2 linked regions of the Macaca fascicularis genome follow. The protein of the gene in region 1 binds, or shares a complex with, the protein of each later gene. Links are inferred from orthologs where the notes say so. Each region holds a gene or a part of one and is shown on either strand. Other genes may lie near its edges. The genes, in order: NPR1 and NPPA.

The links.
Region 2: the proteins of NPR1 (region 1) and NPPA are in contact, whole or in part, in a crystal structure (PDB 7BRG), measured with the Rattus norvegicus proteins. The link is inferred for Macaca fascicularis from reciprocal best matches to the Homo sapiens genes NPR1 and NPPA. Residues at the interface, in NP_036745.1 of Rattus norvegicus: Asp90, Val115, Tyr116, Ala119, Pro120, Arg123, Ala139, Leu140, Gly141, Ile142, Val144, Tyr148, Tyr182, Asp184, Leu186, Gly187, Asp188, Asp189, Arg190, Phe193, Phe194, Val196, Glu197, Tyr200, Met201, Arg204, His213, Gln214, Glu215, Phe216; in NP_036744.1 of Rattus norvegicus: Arg126, Ser127, Ser128, Cys129, Phe130, Gly131, Gly132, Arg133, Ile134, Asp135, Arg136, Ile137, Gly138, Ala139, Gln140, Ser141, Gly142, Leu143, Gly144, Cys145, Asn146, Ser147, Phe148, Arg149, Tyr150.

What each region holds. Positions count from the first base shown.
Region 1 is NC_088375.1:107,488,383-107,492,190, reverse strand, and holds part of NPR1 (atrial natriuretic peptide receptor 1), read left to right. Parts: intron 1-219; coding exon 220-355; intron 356-1,013; coding exon 1,014-1,105; intron 1,106-1,887; coding exon 1,888-2,023; intron 2,024-2,251; coding exon 2,252-2,336; intron 2,337-3,480; coding exon 3,481-3,601; intron 3,602-3,808. UniProt on the Homo sapiens protein: Receptor for the atrial natriuretic peptide NPPA/ANP and the brain natriuretic peptide NPPB/BNP which are potent vasoactive hormones playing a key role in cardiovascular homeostasis.
Region 2 is NC_088375.1:222,958,690-222,962,609, forward strand, and holds NPPA (natriuretic peptides A), read left to right. Parts: upstream 1-1,463; 5' UTR 1,464-1,562; coding exon 1,563-1,685; intron 1,686-1,807; coding exon 1,808-2,134; intron 2,135-2,959; coding exon 2,960-2,971; 3' UTR 2,972-3,265; downstream 3,266-3,920.

The sequences.
Region 1 (3,808 bases):
TATGGAGACGATACATCCTGCCCTGTCTACCTAGCAGGATTCAGGACGTGATGCTAATCCAAAGGCATCATTTAAATAGTAAAATCTCCCTGTGATGTAGCGGTGTTATTTTCTCCCATCCTCTTCCAAAATCCCAGTGCCTCTCGTTCCCTTCCCCACAGCTCCCACCTCCATACCCTTCATACGCCCACCCCAGCCAACCTCTGTTTGCCCCTACAGGTGAACACCATCCCAGCATCCTTCCACGATGGGCTCCTGCTCTATATCCAGGCAGTGACGGAGACTCTGGCACATGGGGGAACTGTTACTGATGGGGAGAACATCACTCAGCGGATGTGGAACCGAAGCTTTCAAGGTCAGGGCCTGGAGGTGGTTGGAATGGGCTGCCTTGGGGGATGAATCCCAGGTGCCCAGTGTAAAGCCATGAGAAGCCTATTGCCCTGCAGCACAGTTACCTATGCACACCAGCCTTTTCCTCCACAGCTTTTATTCAGGCCCATCCCTCAGAAGTCCTACTAAGTGTCCAATCTCAATCATCCCTGCTGGGCACTGAATTCTTTTACTTTTTTTTTTTTTTTTTGAGATGGAGTCTTACTCTGTCCCCAAGACTGGAGGGCAGTGGTGCGATCTCAGCTCGCTTCAACCTCCACCTCCCAGGTTCAAGCGATTCTCCTGCCTCAGCCTCTTGAGTAGCTGGGATTACAGGTGCCCTCCACCAATGCCTGTCTAATTTTTTTTTTCTTTTTTCTTTTTTTAGTAGAGACAGGGTTTCACCACGTTGGTCAGGCTGGTCTTGAGCTCCTGACCTCAGGTGATCTGCCCACCTCAGCCTCCCAAAGTGCTGGGATTACAAGTGTGAGCCACAGTGCCCAGCCCTTTTACCATTTACTATCATTCTGTATACATATATGTTTGGAAGGCAAGACAAAAAAGATTAGAGGATGAAGAGATGAAGTGGGGCACCCCTGAACTTCCATTCTCTCAAACATAATCGTCTTCCCCCATGTCCTCAGGTGTGACAGGATACCTAAAAATTGATAGCAGTGGCGATCGGGAAACAGACTTCTCCCTCTGGGATATGGATCCCGAGACTGGTGCCTTCAGGGTAAGTTTGTGCACCCAGAAGACAGTGCCAATTCCAAATGACATCTCACCCTCCCACTTCCCTCCCCACAGCCCTGCCAGGGCACCTGTTTATCCTGTAGCCATTCTACCGTGCCTGGACACTTACGAGAGCCCTGGATAAAACAGACCCAGCTCCAGTCTGGGGAAGCCACCAGAATGATAGGGACCCACAGGCATCACACTTGGGGAGCCCCATGCCTGAGGAAGGAGCACAACCCTGCCCTCGGGGAGCCCCGAAAGGAGGCAGCAGGACCACCTCCCAGCAGAGACAGGGTGGTGAAGGACGCACATTACATAACTCTGCAATTGAGTGGAGACAGGAAGGTGCTGAGGCCAATGGTGGCAAGGGACAGGTCATCCAGAGAAGGCCTCCTGGAAGAGGGGCACATGGACTGGGCCTGGGAATGTAGGCTGAGGTGGACACTACCTTCTGTTTTCTACCAAGAAAATAGGTAGAGAAAAATCAGTGCTTGGTTGGTGCTTCAACCAAGATTATAAACCCCCTGAGTGTAGACATCGGGTTCTAAATGGAGTTTTCTTTATAAATCCCTTGATAGTTTTCAGGTGTTTCCACTTGAATAATATGTGTGTGGTATGAGGTCCTGTATCCAGTTGCAGCAGGGGCTTGGTAAGCAGGTGACAACCCAGATACATATAGGCTCTGGAAGCAGAGCTGGGGTAGGTGGGAGGTGAGACTGCTGCACTGCACAGCAGGCCTTCCCCACAGGCCCTGGCCTAGCCACCACTCCTGCTCTCCCTTAGGTTGTACTGAACTACAATGGGACTTCCCAAGAGCTGGTGGCTGTGTCAGGGCGCAAACTGAACTGGCCTCTGGGGTACCCTCCTCCTGACATCCCCAAATGTGGCTTTGACAACGAAGACCCAGCATGCAACCAAGGTGACTGCCCCTTGCCTTCCAGGCCTCCATCCTGGAGATACTGCATCCTTCCCCTAAGCACAGTTGAGTAGGTGCTCCTGTCCCACGCTGAGGGCTTCCTGGAGAATGATTCCTGCCTTTTTCTCCCCTTCATCCATCATCCCAGTTCACTGATGGACTATTAGAAAGTTCTTCCTCCTGCTGTCTAACCCAAATCTCTCTTGCTGCAATATGGACTCTCTCCTGCAGATCACCTTTCTACCCTGGAGGTGCTGGCTTTGGTGGGCAGCCTCTCCCTGCTCAGCATTCTGATTGTCTCCTTCTTCATATACAGGTGAGCTGTGATGTGGGGGGCTGAGTGAGGCTGGAGGACCCGGAGAACCAATAGCAGAGGAGGTGGTGGGGACCCAGAGGGAAGGGGGCAGGGGTGAACGGACAGCAGGGGAAAACTAAGGGAGATGAGAAAGAAAGGAGGCTTAAAAGCCAGAGGAGAGAGAAAGAGAAGGGAATGGCAGGCGAGGGGAGGAGACAAGGATAGGAATGGCCAAGGAGAGTCAGAGAGATCCAAGAAGCAGAGAAGTTGATGCGTGACATCATAGGGGTGTAGACTGGTTTCCCTTGCTACTCTTGCAGGCCAGATGGGAAGCAATGTTCTGAACCTTGGGATCATGCCCATGTTAGTTGAGAAGGGTGGTGAGCCCTGGTGTGTGCCAGGTGCCCAACCTAGAGTGGAGAGGGGAGCTAAATGAGCCCTGTTCCTGCCGTTCAGTGGAGGCTAAAATGAAGTACAGGAGGAGTTAATGATATACGAAAGCAAAGAAGGAGGGGAGAAAATCACTGCTGGTTGAACATAAAATATATGCCAAGCACTTCCACGTATACTATTTCTTTTTTCTTTTTCTTTTTCTTTTTTTTTTTTTTTGAGATGGAGTCTCGCTCTGTCGCCAGACTGGAGTGCAGTGGCATGATCTCGACTCACTGCAACCTCCGCCTCCCAGGTTCAAGCGATTCTCCTGCCTCAGCCTCCCATGTAGCTGGGACTGCAGGTGCATGCCACCACGCTCAGCTAATTTTTGTATTTTTAGTAGAGACAGAGTTTCACCATGTTGGCCAGGATAGTTTCGATCTCTTGACCTCATGATCTGCCCGCCTCGGCCTCCCAAAGTGTTGGGATTACAGGCATGAGCCACCGCACCTGGCCTCACACACACTTTCTTTTCATTCTTATAATAGTTAAGAATGAAATAGATATTGAGGCCTCATTCCCAAATAAGGACATTGAGGTGATTCCCCCAAGGTCCCCAGTGAGGCAGAATTTCCCCCAGCCATCCTGATTCTCGGTCCAGAGTACATAATTCCCCCTCCATCTCTGACCACGCATCATGGTGTGGTCCCACGGCTCTGAGGAGGGGCTGCTGAGCACCCTGCCCTGGGTCAGGGGCTCAGCCACGGGCTCAGATACAACCTTCGTACCCCAGGAAGATGCAGCTGGAGAAGGAACTGGCCTCGGAGCTGTGGCGGGTGCGCTGGGAGGACGTTGAGCCCAGTAGCCTTGAGAGGCACCTGCGGAGTGCAGGCAGCCGGCTGACCCTGAGCGGGGTAAGAACGCTAGTGTTTGTGTTGGGGGGCAATAAAGGACAGCTAGGTACAAGGGGCAGTGCCTGAGGGGTAGGGAAGGGAGCAGGATTCTAGTCCCAGCTCTGCTTTCACTTGCTGTGTGACCTTGAGCGACTCATAGTCCCTCTCCGAGACTGTTTCAGATGATGATTACAGCTGCAGAGCCTCCCTCACAGGGCTCTTTTAAAG
Region 2 (3,920 bases), about 120 Mb from region 1:
ATGGTAGTTTTAATAGGGGAATGCAGCTAAGGGGTAAAGAGGCAGCACCCTACGTGAAATAGGCTAGGATGCGGACATCAGTGTCAGACCTGGGGTTCCAGTCCTGGTTCTGCCACTTAGGCACCTAGTGGCCTTGGGCAAGTGGCATAGCCCCTCAGGCTCAGTTCTGTTCCCTTGTAAGCAAGGACAATGCGGTCTACCACCAGCTGGGGATGATGATCAAAATAAAATCATTTCCATAAAGTTCTCAGCACAGTCTTTCTCATTTTACACACAAGGAAAATAAGGCTGCGAAGATGTATGCAACTGGTTGGTTTGGGGCTAGAGTGCCAGTCTGTCAGTCCTTCAAATTTAGTGTTTTCCCCCAGTATACGTTGCATTGAATGGTAATGGCTAACACTGAGTTCGGTGCTTAGCAAACAGGCCATTCGTTAAACATAGACAGGCTCGTTGCCTGTTATTTCTCTTTTGGGGGCCAGAGAAATTGTGACCTTGGTGGCTCAGTCACTTGCCCCTTGCCACGTCCTCAGGGAAGGATGTAGACGGCATTGAAGGAAACCGACTATACCTCCTTCACCCCCACCTCCCTCCCTTCATTGGCTAAGTTGCTATGGGCACAAGCCCAGGAAGGGCAGGGGGCTGTTACAAACTTCAAACACGAAGAGTCTGAGCATGTATAAACAGCAAAGGAAGAAACGAAATTCGCTGCGTCCTCTAAGCCTGTCCCCACAGCATGTTGGAGGAGGGTCGCGGGGGACGTGGAAGAGGAGGAGCTTTGGAGAGATGCTTGTGCTTCCCCGGCTTTTCTTGGTATTTCTATTCGGGGCTTGGAGCTTCATCACATTTGGTTCCTGGCTGACTTTATACACTAAAAAATAACTCCCTTTTGTCTGACCATGGAGAGGGACTGCCAGGGGTGAGGGCAGCCCTGTCTGAGGCCAGAGGTCTGCCCACGTGGCGGATGAGGCAGGTGTGAGGCCAGCTTGAGCATATGGACCCATTTGTCTCGGGCTGCTGGCTGCCTGCCATTTCCTCCTCTCCACCCTTATTTGGAGGCCCTGACAGCTGAGCCACAAACAAACCAGGGGAGCTGGGCAGCAGCCAAGCGTCACCCTCTGTCTCCCCGCATGGGTACCAGCATCGAGGAGAAAGAATCCTGAGGCATGGTGGTGAGATAACCAAGGACTCTTTTTTACTCTTCTCACACCTTTGAAGTGGAAGCCTCTTGAGTCAAATCAGCAAGAATGCGGCTCTTGCAGCCGAGGGTCTGGGGGGCTGTTGGGGCTGCCCAAGGCAGAAGGGCTGTGACAAGCCCTGCGGGATGATAACTTTAAAAGGGCATCTCCTGCTGGCTTCTCACTTGCTGCTTTATCGCTGCAAGTGACAGAATGGGGAGGGTTCTGTCTCTCCTGCGTGCTTGGAGAGCTGGGGGGCTATAAAAAGAGGAGGCACTGGGCAGCTGGGAGACAGGGACGGACGTAGGCCAAGAGAGGGGAACCAGAGAGGAACCAGAGGGGAGAGACAGAGCAGCAAGCAGTGGATTGCTCCTTGACTACGCCAGCATGAGCTCCTTCTCCACCATCAGTGTGAGCTTCCTCCTTTTTCTGGCATTCCAGCTCCCAGGTCAGACCAGAGCTAATCCCATGTACAATGCCGTGTCCAACGCAGACCTGATGGATTTCAAGGTAGGGCCAGGAAAGCGGGTGCAGTCTGGGGCCACGGGGCTTTCTGATGCTGTGCTCACGCCTCTTGATTTTCTCCAAGTCAATGAGGTTTATCCCTTTCCCTGTATTTTCCTTTTGTAAAGAATTTGCTGGACAATTTGGAAGAAAAGATGCCTTTAGAAGATGAGGTCGTGCCCCCACAAGTGCTCAGAGAGCAGAATGAAGAAGCGGGGGCTGCTCTCAGCCCCCTCCCTGAGGTGCCTCCCTGGACCGGGGATGTCAGCCCAGCCCAGAGAGATGGGGGTGCCCTCGGGCAGGGCCCCTGGGACTCCTCCGATCGATCTGCCCTCTTAAAAAGCAAGCTGAGGGCGCTGCTCACTGCCCCTCGGAGCCTGCGGAGATCCAGTTGCTTCGGGGGCAGGATGGACAGGATTGGAGCCCAGAGCGGACTGGGCTGTAACAGCTTCCGGGTAAGAGGAACTGGGGATGGAAATGGGATGGGATGGACACTACTGGGAGACACCCTCAGCAGGAAAGAGACCAATGCAGAAGCTCATTCTCTCTCAAGTTTCTGCCCCAACACTGTGAGTGCCCCATGGGTGTCAGGACACGCCATCTATTGTCCTTAGCTACAGTCTGCTGAGAAAATGCTTAAAAAAAAAAAAAAAAAAAAAAAAGGCCGGGCACGGTGGCTCACGCCTATAATCCCAGCACTTTGGGAGGCCAAGGCAGGCGGATCATGAAGTCAAGAGATCGAGACTATCCTGGCCAACATGGTGAAACCCCGTCTCTACTAAAAATACAAAAATTAGCTGGGCACGGTGGTGCTGGGTGCCTATAGTCCTAGCTACTCGGGAGGCTGAGGCAGGAGAATCACTTGAACCCAGGAGGCAGAGGTTGCAGTGAGCCAAGATTGCCCCACTGCACTCCAGCCTAGGTGATAGAGTGAGACTCTGTCTCAAAGAAAAAAAAAAAAAAAAAAAAAGAAGCAGCAACTGCCACTAGCACTGGGAAATTAAAATAGTCATAGGGCCAAGTTATCTTTGCATGGCTGATTAGCAGCTCATGTTCCTCCCCAGAATTGCAAGATCTTGAAGGGCTAAATTGAAATTTACTCTGATGAGTAACTTGCTTATCAATTCATGAAGTTCAGAGGGTCATCAGGCTGGGGTGGGGGCCGGTGGGAAGCAGGTAGTCAGTAATCAAGTTCAGAGGATGGGCACACTCACACATGAAGCTGACTTTTCCAAGACAGCCAGGTCACCAAGCCAGATATGTCTGTGTTCTCTTTGTAGTACCGAAGATAACAGCCAGGGAGCACAAGGAGGGCTGGGCCTTGGGACAGACGGCAAGAGGTTCCTGCCCGCTGGGGTCTCTCCTGCATTCGTGTCATCTCGTTGTCATGGAGTTGTGATCATCCCATCCAAGCTGCAGCTTCCTGTCAACACTTCTCACATCTTACACTAACTGTAGATAAAGTGGTGTGATGGTGGCTTCCTTGCCTCTCCCACCCCATGCATTAAATTTTAAGGTAGAACCTCACCTGTTACTGAAAGTGGTTTGAAAGTGAATAAACTTCAGCACCATGGACAGAAGACAAATGCCTGCGTTGGTGTGATTTCTTCTTGGGGAAGAGAATTCAGGCCGATCGATATTCCTTGTCATTTTACTCTTTGTCAGAGAACAGAATGCTGAGGTTTTCTTATTCCTTTCATTTCACCCTCCTTTTTTGGTGGGTGGTTGGGGAGGCCTCAAATTCCACTTAGTGCTTTTTGGTTACGGGGGTTTTTGTTGTTTTTGGGGGGAACATTCAGAAAATGAGAGTATTAATTAGATTTCCTCTGATACATTTCGAGAGAGTTAGGTGCTACAGCTAAGTTAATGGCACTTTTAGTTTTGAAAAGAGTAGGCAGAGTGTTGAGCTTAAAAGCTGAGTAGGCTGGGTGTAGTGGCTCACTCCTGTAATCCCAGCATTTTGGGAGGCCAAGGTGGGCAAATCACTTGAGCCCAGGAGTTCAAGGCCAGCCTGAGCAATAAAGACCTCATCTCTACAAAAAATTGAAAAATTAGCCAGGCGTGGTGATGTGCACCGGCAGTTCCAGCTATTCAGGAGGCCAAGGTGGGAGGATGGCTTAAGCCTGGGAGGCGGAGGCTGCAGCGAGCTGGTATCGTGCCACTGCACTCCAGCCTGGGTGACAGAATGAGACTTGTCTCAAAAAAATAATGAAAACCGAGCAAAGTGAAGAAAAGTTTGCC